Callithrix jacchus: one gene and its partners. The protein of the gene in region 2 binds, or shares a complex with, the protein of the main gene of each other region. Links are inferred from orthologs where the notes say so. Each region holds a gene or a part of one and is shown on either strand. Other genes may lie near its edges.

What was found.
Region 1: ARID1B (region 2) and ACTL6B share a complex: the UniProt entries of both Homo sapiens proteins name them as parts of the neuron-specific chromatin remodeling complex. The link is inferred for Callithrix jacchus from reciprocal best matches to the Homo sapiens genes ARID1B and ACTL6B.
Region 3: ARID1B (region 2) and SMARCD3 share a complex: the UniProt entries of both Homo sapiens proteins name them as parts of the neuron-specific chromatin remodeling complex. The link is inferred for Callithrix jacchus from reciprocal best matches to the Homo sapiens genes ARID1B and SMARCD3.

Annotation. Positions count from the first base shown.
Region 1 is NC_133503.1:13,071,952-13,075,696, forward strand, and holds the start of ACTL6B (actin-like protein 6B), read left to right. Parts: upstream 1-1,130; 5' UTR 1,131-1,212; coding exon 1,213-1,237; intron 1,238-1,687; coding exon 1,688-1,764; intron 1,765-1,980; coding exon 1,981-2,146; intron 2,147-2,445; coding exon 2,446-2,546; intron 2,547-3,745. UniProt on the Homo sapiens protein: Involved in transcriptional activation and repression of select genes by chromatin remodeling (alteration of DNA-nucleosome topology).
Region 2 is NC_133505.1:163,604,758-163,608,502, forward strand, and holds the start of ARID1B (AT-rich interactive domain-containing protein 1B), read left to right. Parts: upstream 1-1,480; 5' UTR 1,481-1,783; coding exon 1,784-3,550; intron 3,551-3,745. UniProt on the Homo sapiens protein: Involved in transcriptional activation and repression of select genes by chromatin remodeling (alteration of DNA-nucleosome topology).
Region 3 is NC_133512.1:96,971,866-96,975,510, forward strand, and holds the end of SMARCD3 (SWI/SNF-related matrix-associated actin-dependent regulator of chromatin subfamily D member 3), read left to right. Parts: coding exon 1-77; intron 78-330; coding exon 331-426; intron 427-584; coding exon 585-686; intron 687-894; coding exon 895-1,056; intron 1,057-1,999; coding exon 2,000-2,097; intron 2,098-2,275; coding exon 2,276-2,411; intron 2,412-2,782; coding exon 2,783-2,905; intron 2,906-3,026; coding exon 3,027-3,128; intron 3,129-3,366; coding exon 3,367-3,420; 3' UTR 3,421-3,550; downstream 3,551-3,645. UniProt on the Homo sapiens protein: Involved in transcriptional activation and repression of select genes by chromatin remodeling (alteration of DNA-nucleosome topology).

The DNA of each region.
Region 1 (3,745 bases), on a different chromosome or scaffold from region 2:
GGCTCACTTGAGGCCAGGAGTTCGAGACCAAATTGGACAACATAGTGAGGGTCCGTGTCTTAAAAAAAAAAAAAAAAAAAGGCTGGGCACGGTGGCTCACTCCTGTAATCCCAGCACTTTGGGAGGCCAAGGTCGGCGAATCACGAGGTCAGGAGATCAAGACCATCCTGGCTAACACGGTGAAACCCCGTGTCTACTAAAAATACAAAAAATTAGCACGCGCCTGTAGTCCCAGCTACTTAGGAGGCCGAGACAGGAGAATCACGTGAACACCCAGGAGGCAGAGGTTGCAGTGAGCTGAGATCGCGCCACTGCACTCCAGCCTGGGCGACACAGCAGGAGTCCGTGTCAAAAAAAAAAAGGAAAAAACAGGGAGAGATGGAGACACACTCCTTCTGGTCTCTCTCTCAATCTTCCCTTCCCTCCCTCTCTCAGTGATTCCATTTAGGCCCGGGATTGGCAAAACCGGGCTCACAGCAGCCTGAAGATAGATGACCCTTCTGGGTACTGGAGTTCTCTCCGCAACCCTGCTTTAAAAGGTAAGGGAATAGAGAAGGGACGAGATGGCTCATGCCTATAATTCCAGCACTTTGAGAGGCTGAGGTAGGAGGATTGCTTGAGGCCAGGAGTTAGAGATCAACCTGGGCAACACAGCAAGACCCCATCTCTACAATATATATATATATATATATATATTTTTTTTTTTTTTTTAATTAGCCAGGTGTGCTGGCACCTGCCTGTAATCCCAGCTACTTGGGAGGCTGAAGAAGATCGTTTGAGCTCAGGAGTACGAGACCAGCCTGGGCGAAATAACAAGACCCCATCTCTACCAAAAGAATTAAAATAATAAAACTAAAAAGCAAGGGGGTAAGGACCTCATCAGTCGTCCTACAGAGTCTTGGTCTCCTCCTCTTTCCTGCTCTCTCCTCTCTGCCACGCGTTCCTTAGGAACGGTTAAGTCCCTGCTGGGAGCCCCCTGCCCCATCTCCTCCCGGCCGCCTAACCGGGGACGTCTTTCCCTTTAAAGCAGCGGCCCCCGTCCGGGTCATTGTCTCGCCTGGCAGCCAATCGGCGGCGCCGTTGGGGGCGGGGGATCCGGCTTCCCGATTGGCCGCCTCGCGCCCCGCCCCGCCCGGGATCCCGGGAGCTGTCCGGCCGCCTCGGTGCTGATCCCGCCGCCGCCCACGGGCCGCGAGCCGCGCAGAGGGCACTATGAGCGGCGGCGTCTACGGCGGAGGTGAGCGAGCCTTGGGCCCCGGGCTCCCGCAGCCTTGCGTTCCGAACCCGCGTCATCGATCCGAGCTCTGGGCACCCCGGGGCCTGTCACCTCCGTGCACGAATGGGTCCGGTCCCAGGCTTGGGTCTCCCGCCACTCCTACGCTCGGTCCTCCCTGCACGCCTCGCGCGCACCGGGCCCAACCTCTCTACCTTGCAACCCACCTCCAACTGGTCCCCGGCCCCTTCCTTTCCCGTCTGGAGGGCGACCTGAGCAAGTCCACTGGGCAAGCAGGGACCTGGCGGTGTGATGCCCCTGCCCCCAGTCCCAGGACCTCGGACTCCAGTCCCACCTGCCCCAGACTGGTGATGAAAGTAGTGAGACTGTGGCTCTGCCCTGACTTCCTCTCGGAGCTACCTAGCGGGAGAGAGTTCGGGGGAAGTCCCCTTACAGGCCTGTTTCCCCGCACAGATGAGGTGGGGGCGCTGGTCTTTGACATTGGCTCCTTCTCAGTCCGAGCTGGGTACGCTGGGGAGGACTGCCCCAAGGTGAGCCTTTCAGTCTCCTCCCCAAATTCTAGGGGCTCTGAACCCTTCTTCGGGCTTTCCAGTGACCCAGGGCTCTCCCAGATCGCCCAGAAGCTCTGCTGAGCGGGAATGCGGGAATAAACCCAGGGGCGGGCTGAGGACCCCGCTGTGGGGCTGGACAGGGGCAAGAAGGTGACCCCTCTCCCTGCCGATCCTCCCCCAACCCTTCCCCACCAGGCTGACTTCCCCACCACGGTGGGGCTGCTGGCCGCGGAGGAGGGGGGCGGGCTGGAGCTGGAGGGGGACAAAGAGAAGAAAGGGAAGATCTTTCACATCGACACCAATGCCCTGCACGTGCCTCGGGATGGAGCAGAGGTCATGTCGCCCCTGAAGAATGGCATGAGTAAGGGGCCCTCACCCATCACCTCCTGACACAGACAGGGAGCTCACTCTCCATGATCTGGGACATAGCAGCCCCAACTCCCCAAGGATTCTTCCTTGCAGTCCCAGGGTTCTTCTCACTGCCTCCCTGAGCTGCCTGGTTCCCATCCCAGGGGCCCATCAGGTTTCTGGGAAGGAGGGTGTTCCCCTGGAGCTGGACTCACTGACCCTCCTTTGGACTTGGCCTTCCTCCCTCCTTTTCCTCCTGTCCCTGACCCTTGCCTGCCCTCTTGCGTCTCTGTGCTGCTCTTCTGGCCCCAGTTGAGGATTGGGAGTGCTTCCGAGCCATCCTGGATCACACCTACAGCAAACATGTCAAGTCTGAGCCAAACCTGCACCCAGTGCTCATGTCCGAGGCTCCGGTGAGTGCCTACTCCATACCTCCACGTCCGGCCCTGATCTCCACCGAACCTCATTCCCACCATCCACCTCTCCTCTCCCCTCAAGCCACCACTCTCAGCCACTTGACCTCCCTTTTCCATCTTCACCACTTTCTTTCCTTCCTAGCTGTCTCCAGCCCTCCTGCTCTTTTCCTGCTCTATCTTACTCTGCTGCCCTTCTCCGTCTCCAAGTCCTTTTTAAATTTTTAATCTTTTGAGACAGAGTCTCACTCTGTTGCCCAGGCTGGAGTGCAATCACGAGATCTCAGCCTGTGTCTCCTGGGTTCAAGGAATTATCTTGCCTAAACCTGCCAAGTGGCTGGGATTACTGGCACCCGCCACCATGCCTAATTTTTGTATTTTTACAAAAAATTCGCCAGGTGTGATGGCGGGCGCCGGTAGACATTTTTTAAATGTTCTTACCTGCCTCCTTATATTTCCCCCTGTATAAAAGCAACTGTTTTTCTCCCTTTTGAGCTAATTTTTGGAGTATTTTCTTTCATATCTCTAATATCACACTTAAATTGCAGCCTGTGGAGTTTTTTGTTTTAGGTATTATCTATGAATTTTCCACTTTAGAAAATGGTCGCTTAGCTCTCTTTTCCTCCCCAGCCTATACCACACAGATTTCTCATCACCCACCTTTAAGTACAGTGGCTTCTGTTGTTGTGGTTGTTTGGGGTTGTGTTGTTTGTTTTTGAGACAGGCTCTTACTTTGTCACACAGGCTGGAGTGCAGCAGCACGATTCTGCAGCCTTTACCTCCTCAGCTCAAGTGACCCTCTCATTTCAGCCTCCGGAGAAGCTGGAACTACAGACATGAGCCACCACGCCCAGCTGATTTTTACATTTTTTGTAGAGGCAGGGTTTCACCATGTTGTCCAGGCTGGTCTGGAATTTCTGGGTCTTGAATTCAAGCAACCTGCCTGCCTCAGCCTCCCAAATTGCTGAGATTACAGGTGAGATCCACCGCATCCAGACCAGTTGTATTTTAGACTTTAAAAGAAATCAGGGCCAGGCGCGGTGGCTCAAGCCTGTAATCCCAGCACTTCGGGAGGCCGAGGCGGGTGGATCACGAGGTCAAGAGATCAAGACCATCCTGGTTAACATGGTGAAACCCCATCTCTTCTAAAAATACAAAAAAAAAAAATTAGCTGGGCATGGTGGCACATGCCTGTAATC
Region 2 (3,745 bases):
TTTCCAGTTGTTTGCGTAGAATTGCAATTTCTTGTTTCTACACTCTGTAATGACCCTTGGGTGTGCACCTGATTCCCTCCCCCCCCAGCCCAATTAGTCACCAGTTTTCCCGTCTCTCCTTTTCTATTTAGTCATGTAACATATTTACACTTGGTCAAACAAATAACCACTGCAGTGGAAATGAATCAAAATAGTTTTTATGGAAAGCTGAAGAATGAAATAATTTTGGAAAACTATGCCCTAACAAAACCTTAAATATTGTTTCTGCCAGCTTTTAAATGCTTTCTCTCCGTGAAAACTGAGTCCGCACTGGTACAAGTGGGCCATTGCCTAAGATTAAGAAGTCTTGCTTTTCAAAATGTTACTAAATGATTAATAACAATGCAAATATTTAAAACACTAGTAACAATGCAAACGTTTAAAACATTGTAAAATGATAGACACCAGTTTTTAAGAGAACAAAGTATGGAACGTTTCTACTTTAGGATTAGACTGTTTTACATTATTATTGGTTACATTTATTCAATATAATGTTTATAATATTTTTGTTTTGTTTCACATTTCTTTGAATGTATATCAAGAGGGTTAACTGTGTACATGCAGCTCTGAAATAGGATGAAAGGTGTCATGCAGATTTATGAAGATACAAGCTAACCCATAGCTGTCGCTGTTCTGGCACCAAGAGTTAAATTTTCCTGTGGAAGTTGGAGCAGAAAACACCTCTGTACATACTCGAGAGAGGACATCTAAGTGCACATAATAAGAAAAATGCTCCTTTGGGAATACTTGGAGTTTTCCTTGACAAGCCTAATACGTGTTTAAGGTGTCTTCAGAAAGAGTTATGTAAACATTCTCTTTGGAACGAGTGATAAACATTTATTAAGTACCTGCTGTGTACAAAGCACAGGGCTCTCTGACCGGGGCTAACTTTCATTTCAAATCTTTACTAATTCTGCAGTTGGAAGAAGTTGTGGGAATTACGCCGATGGCCCGAAATCAAGGCAGAGGCAAACGTTCTGAGAATTACATAACTCCTGGGAGAGACCGTGCTTTTGCACAGATTGCCTAAATATTTTCTTTCTCCGTCGGCTCCTTGTAACCTCTGAGGCCAACAGACAACTTTGTTCTCCGGCCCTTCTCCCTCTTTTGTCTGCTCGTCAGACTCGTTTTCCACCTTTGTATCGTTCCTTTTAGACGTGAAAACAAACACGCGAACGCCCGGTTGGCAAGGAGACAGCGGCCCGGGGGGAAAGTGCAGGTTCCGGCCGCCCCACGCCGCCGCGCTCCGGACCGCCGCCGAGCCGCCCCGGCCCTGGCCCCAGCCTTAGTCCCAGCCCGGCTGGGCCCCGCGAGGCTGAGCCGGGGCGGGCGGGCGGCGGCGACTGCAGCCCGGGGACGAGTCCAGTCCGCGTTTTGCGAGTGCGCGGGAGTAATGCGAGCGAAGTGGATAATAGTTGCTGGAGCTCGCCCGCTTCTTCTCATGCCATGCTGGGCCCGATAGGCTCAGCCAGTCGTGTATTTACCCATATCCGGGTTAGAGAGGAAAAGAGAAAAGTTTCATTTAAACCTGAACTAAAAACTTTCACCATGAAAGCACACAGCAGGAGCAGGCCCAGAGCGTAAGGCGTGCCCGGCCCGGCGCTCCGGCGGGGCCTGAGGAGGGGGAGGGGGTCGCGGCTTCCCGGCGGGCCGCGTGGATGCGCACAGGAGGGGCCGCGGCCTGAAAAGTGGGGGTTATTGTCTCCCCCCACCCCCCGCCCGGCCTCGCCACGCCGCGGCGATCATGGCCGCGCGGGCAGCAGCGGCGGCGGCGGCGGCGGCGGCGCGGGCGCGGGCGCGGGCAGGCAGCGGCGAGCGGCGGGCGCCCCCCGGGCCGCGGCCGGCGCCCGGGGCCCGGGACCTGGAGGCGGGGGCGCGCGGCGCGGCGGCGGCGGCGGCACCGGGACCCATGCCGGGGGGCGGCGGCGACAGCGGCGGCGGCCTGAACAGTGTGCACCACCACCCCCTGCTCCCCCGTCACGAACTCAACATGGCCCATAATGCGGGCACCGCGGCCGCCGCCGCCGGCACCCACAGCGCCAAGAGCGGCGGCTCCGAGGCGGCTCTCAAGGAGGGTGGAAGCGCCGCCGCGCTGTCCTCCTCCTCCTCCGCGGCGGCGGCGGCGTCCTCTTCCTCCTCGTCGGGCCCGGGCTCGGCCATGGAGACGGGGCTGCTCCCCAACCACAAACTGAAAACCGTTGGCGAAGCCCCCGCCGCGCCGCCCCACCAGCAGCACCACCACCACCACCATGCCCACCACCATCACCACCATGCCCACCACCTCCACCACCACCACGCACTACAGCAGCAGCTAAACCAGTTCCAGCAGCAGCAGCAGCAGCAACAGCAGCAGCAGCAGCAGCAACATCCCATTTCCAACAACAACAGCCTGGGCGGCGCGGGCGGCGGCGCGCCTCAGCCCGGCCCCGACATGGAGCAGCCGCAACATGGAGGCGCCAAGGACAGTGCCGCGGGCGGCCAGGCCGACCCCCCGGGCCCGCCGCTGCTGAGCAAGCCGGGCGACGAGGACGACGCGCCGCCCAAGATGGGGGAGCCGGCGGGCGGCCGCTACGAGCACCCGGGCGTGGGCGCCCTGGGCGCGCAGCAGCCGCCGGTCGCCGTGCCCGGGGGCGGCGGCGGCCCGGCGGCCGTCCCGGAGTTTAATAATTACTATGGCAGCGCTGCCCCTGCGAGCGGCGGCCCCGGCGGCCGCGCTGGGCCTTGCTTTGATCAACATGGCGGACAACAAAGCCCCGGGATGGGGATGATGCACTCCGCCTCCGCCGCCGCCGGGGCCCCCGGCAGCATGGACCCCCTGCAGAACTCCCACGAAGGGTACCCCAACAGCCAGTGCAACCATTATCCGGGCTACAGCCGGCCCGGCGCGGGCGGCGGCGGCGGCGGCGGCGGAGGAGGAGGAGGCAGCGGAGGAGGAGGAGGAGGAGGAGGAGCAGGAGCAGGAGCAGGAGGAGCAGGAGCGGGAGCTGTGGCGGCGGCGGCCGCGGCGGCGGCAGCAGCAGCAGGAGGCGGCGGCGGCGGCGGCTATGGGGGCTCGTCCGCGGGGTACGGGGTACTGAGCTCCCCCCGGCAGCAGGGCGGCGGCATGATGATGGGCCCCGGGGGCGGCGGGGCCGCGAGCCTCAGCAAGGCGGCCGCCGGCTCGGCGGCGGGGGGCTTCCAGCGCTTCGCCGGGCAGAACCAGCACCCGTCGGGGGCCACCCCGACCCTCAACCAGCTGCTCACCTCGCCCAGCCCCATGATGCGGAGCTACGGCGGCAGCTACCCCGAGTACAGCAGCCCCAGCGCGCCGCCGCCGCCGCCGTCGCAGCCCCAGTCCCAGGCGGCGGCGGGGGCGGCGGCGGGCGGCCAGCAGGCGGCCGCGGGCATGGGCTTGGGCAAGGACATGGGCGCCCAGTACGCCGCTGCCAGCCCGGCCTGGGCGGCCGCGCAACAAAGGAGTCACCCGGCGATGAGTCCCGGCACCCCCGGACCGACCATGGGCAGATCCCAGGTAACCCCCGCGCCGGCCGGGCCTGCTTCCGCCCGGCGGCCTCGCCGCGCCGCGAGCCTGAGTTTCTTTCTTTGCCGCGTACTTTTCCCCGTCTTCCCGCGGGGGTGGCGGGGGCGGCGGGGGCGCGGCGCCCAAAGCCATCTTGACGGGCGGCCGCCTCCCACCGCGGTCGGGGCGCCCCCGGGACCGACGAGC
Region 3 (3,645 bases), on a different chromosome or scaffold from region 2:
CGAAGCCTGATGCTGAGGATTCCGATGGCAGCATTGCCTCCTGGGAGCTGCGGGTAGAGGGGAAGCTCCTGGATGATGTACGTCCCGGCGCAGGTCTCTCCAGGTGTCCTAGGGTGGGCCTGGGCTGCACTGAGAACAGAACTAGGTGTCTGCACTAAGGGCTAGAGAGTCAGGCCGGTCCAGGGCAGGGCAGGGCAGGGCAGGGCAGGCCTAGAAACATTCGGGTGCAGAGGATTTCATCTAAGCCCGCTGCCCTGTTTGCTGCCAACTTGGCCTTCTTCTGCCCCCAGTCCCTTTTCTGCACCCACGGTCCCTGTTTCTCTCCCACAGCCCAGCAAACAGAAGCGGAAGTTCTCTTCTTTCTTCAAGAGTTTGGTCATTGAGCTGGACAAAGATCTTTATGGCCCTGATAACCACCTCGTTGAGGTGAGACCAAGATCCCCTCTGCCCTTGAACTGCCACCCTCCCACAGGCCAGAATCCCTGAAGAACCAGCCCAGATTTGGATCACGGACCACCCTAGAGTCCTGGGCCCCACCGCTCCAGATGGGCCTTTGGGTGACCCAGCTCTTCTCTCCTGGACAGTGGCATCGGACACCCACAACCCAGGAGACGGACGGCTTCCAGGTGAAACGGCCTGGGGACCTGAGTGTGCGCTGCACGCTGCTCCTCATGCTGGACTACCAGGTCTGCATCTGCCATGCTGCCCCGCACATGTCACATGAGGCCCTTAGGGCAGGCCTAGGTCCCAACATGGTCCATCTTGAGAGACCTCCTTCCCCTCCCAACCCTGTCTTTCCCTCAGTCAACGCATCCCCCTAGTCCTGAATGGCCTGGCCCTGGGCTCCTTCCATTCTCTCCCTTTGATCTAACTTTCACAGTCCCCTTTTCCCAGCCTCCCCAGTTCAAACTGGATCCCCGTCTAGCACGGCTGCTGGGGTTGCACACACAGAGCCGCTCAGCCATCGTCCAGGCCCTGTGGCAGTATGTGAAGACCAACAGGCTGCAGGACTCCCATGACAAGGAATACATCAATGGGGACAAGTATTTCCAGCAGGTAACCTCCCTCCTGAACCCAGGGGCCTGGGGATCAGGCAGAGTTCTCCAGCAGGGGAAGTACCTCTACCAAGGTAACTACCACCCTCCCTTCTAGTTTCCTGAGTAGCAGAAGCAGTACAGAGTTATGGTCTTGGAGCCAAGAGACCGACCAGGATTCTAGTTCAGGTCCTACTGTGGATTAGCTCTGTGCTGCAGCCAATCCATTTTAGCCCCCGCCCCCGCCCCCCCAAGTTAGGAAGACCTGGAACCCTACAAAGCCAACTGCTTTCTGGAATGTAATATTCTTGGCACCTGGAGTTTGGATTCCCAGGTTCTAGTCCTGAGTCTGGACTCTGGGTAAGTGACTTGTTTCCTTATCTTTGAAGTGGAGTGATAATACCTGCCCCGTCTACTCTCCTGGGCAGTTAGGGAAGATCAAATTGCTGCAAAAGGGACTTAGCGAAATTCCACCAAAAGAGAGTATTCTTATTAATGCATTTTAAAATAAATACGGCAGATAAACCTGAGGAGTAAAAATAGCAGCTGATATTTATTGGGCACTTACCATGTGCCAGGCATTGTTCCAAGCACTTTATGTGCATTAGCACCGACTTCTCACGACAGCCCTGAGATAGATATTATTTTCACCCCCACTCTAGAGATGAAGACAGAGGCCTGAGGTGTCAGCTTGCTCATGGCTGCATAGTGATGGGAGAGGCAGGACCGATACATAGACTGGCCCAGGGCCTGCACTCTCAACCTGCCCCACACTGACCCACCCCAGGCCCTGTCAGCCGTGCTGGTGGCTCCACCACCAGACCAGCCCACCCCAATCCCATCCCCCTGTGCACTGAGGAATCAGACTCACTCTCAGCTTCTTGAGGCCTTTCTACAACCAAAGGATCTACAACTTCGTGATGATCTCTTCCAAGAGTGATCTCTCCCTGCAACTGTCTTGCTAGATTTTTGATTGTCCCCGGCTGAAGTTTTCTGAGATTCCCCAGCGCCTCACAGCCCTGCTACTGCCCCCTGACCCAATTGTCATCAACCATGTCATCAGGTGAGGTGGCCCCAGCTTGCTTCTCAGACCAGGGAATGATCTCATTCCTGCCTTCCCTGCCCCTCCCTCTCCTCCCACTCCCGTATTTTCTCCCTCCCTGTTGGAGCTGCCCCCACCCCGGGGCCCTAGGGCCTCTATAGGGGCATCATGAACACTGAGGGCTGCACTTCCCTGGCAGTGTGGACCCTTCAGACCAGAAGAAGACGGCATGCTATGACATTGATGTGGAGGTGGAGGAGCCATTAAAGGGGCAGATGAGCAGCTTCCTCCTGTCCACAGCCAACCAGCAGGAGATCAGTGCTCTGGACAGTAAGGTGGGGCCCAAGCCCAGAGCTGGAATGGGACATTAACCCAGAGATGATAAAGCAGACTTTTCTGAGACCAGGGTGTGGTTGCAGATGAGCAGTCTGGGTTAAATAAAAAAAAGGAAAAGAAAAAGAAGCGACCAGAGTGTGGGCCAGTGGGGTACACATGGCCCTTCCATGCTACTTGGAGTTGAACCTTATTCCAAATTTAGTTCTGCCCATCCCCTCCTCCCCTGGGACTTCAGAGGAATCAGGGGCTCTGAGGTGTTGTCTTTCACCAAAGAAAACCCCTCTCCCTCCCCTTCCCACCCACCTCCTTTTCCCCTCCCTCTCCCACATCACCACAGCCAGGTGGAAAGCATCTATCTTTCTACCTGCAGATCCATGAGACGATTGAGTCCATAAATCAGCTCAAGATCCAGAGGGACTTCATGCTAAGCTTCTCCAGAGACCCCAAAGGCTATGTCCAAGATCTGCTCCGCTCCCAGAGCCGGGACCTCAAGGTGAGAGGGAGACTCAGGGAGTACTGGAGTAGAAGACAAGCACATCAGGAGAGACAGTAAATGTACTCCAGGGCAGGTGAGGGGATCTGGAGCTCAGGGCTGACCCCATGCCCCCTCCCAGGTGATGACAGATGTAGCTGGCAACCCTGAAGAGGAGCGCCGGGCTGAGTTCTACCACCAGCCCTGGTCCCAGGAGGCCGTCAGTCGCTACTTCTACTGCAAGGTATGGAGGGTCCCTTGCCCTGAGGCTTCCCCCTCCTCAACTCCAAGAGAAACCTCCCTGTTCAGCTTGTGGGCAGCCCTCTTAGCTCCCCACAGTAAAGCTTCACCACAATGCCTGACCATGCAGCAGACCCCTGCTCCCAGATGCTCTTCCAGGGTGGGCAGTGTCAGGTGGTGGGGTGGTCCTGATCACTCACCAGGAACACTGACACCTGCTCCTGCTCTCACTTCCTCTAAAGATCCAGCAGCGCAGGCAGGAGCTGGAGCAGTCGCTGGTTGTGCGCAACACCTAGGAGCCCGGGAACAAGCAGCACGAAGGACCTTCTGGCCGCACTCAGAGCTCCAGCGCTCCACCCCAGGCTCTGGCATCACTCCTCTGCCGCTTTGGGGTGCGGGGCTGGATTAAAAGTTATTCATCTGACAGCAGCCATGTGGTCATTGGAAACTGGGGAGGCAAGGGGGAGGAAAGGTGGGTGGGGAGGCAGTGGGTCCCTCTGGACAAACTCCCCACACCCTTC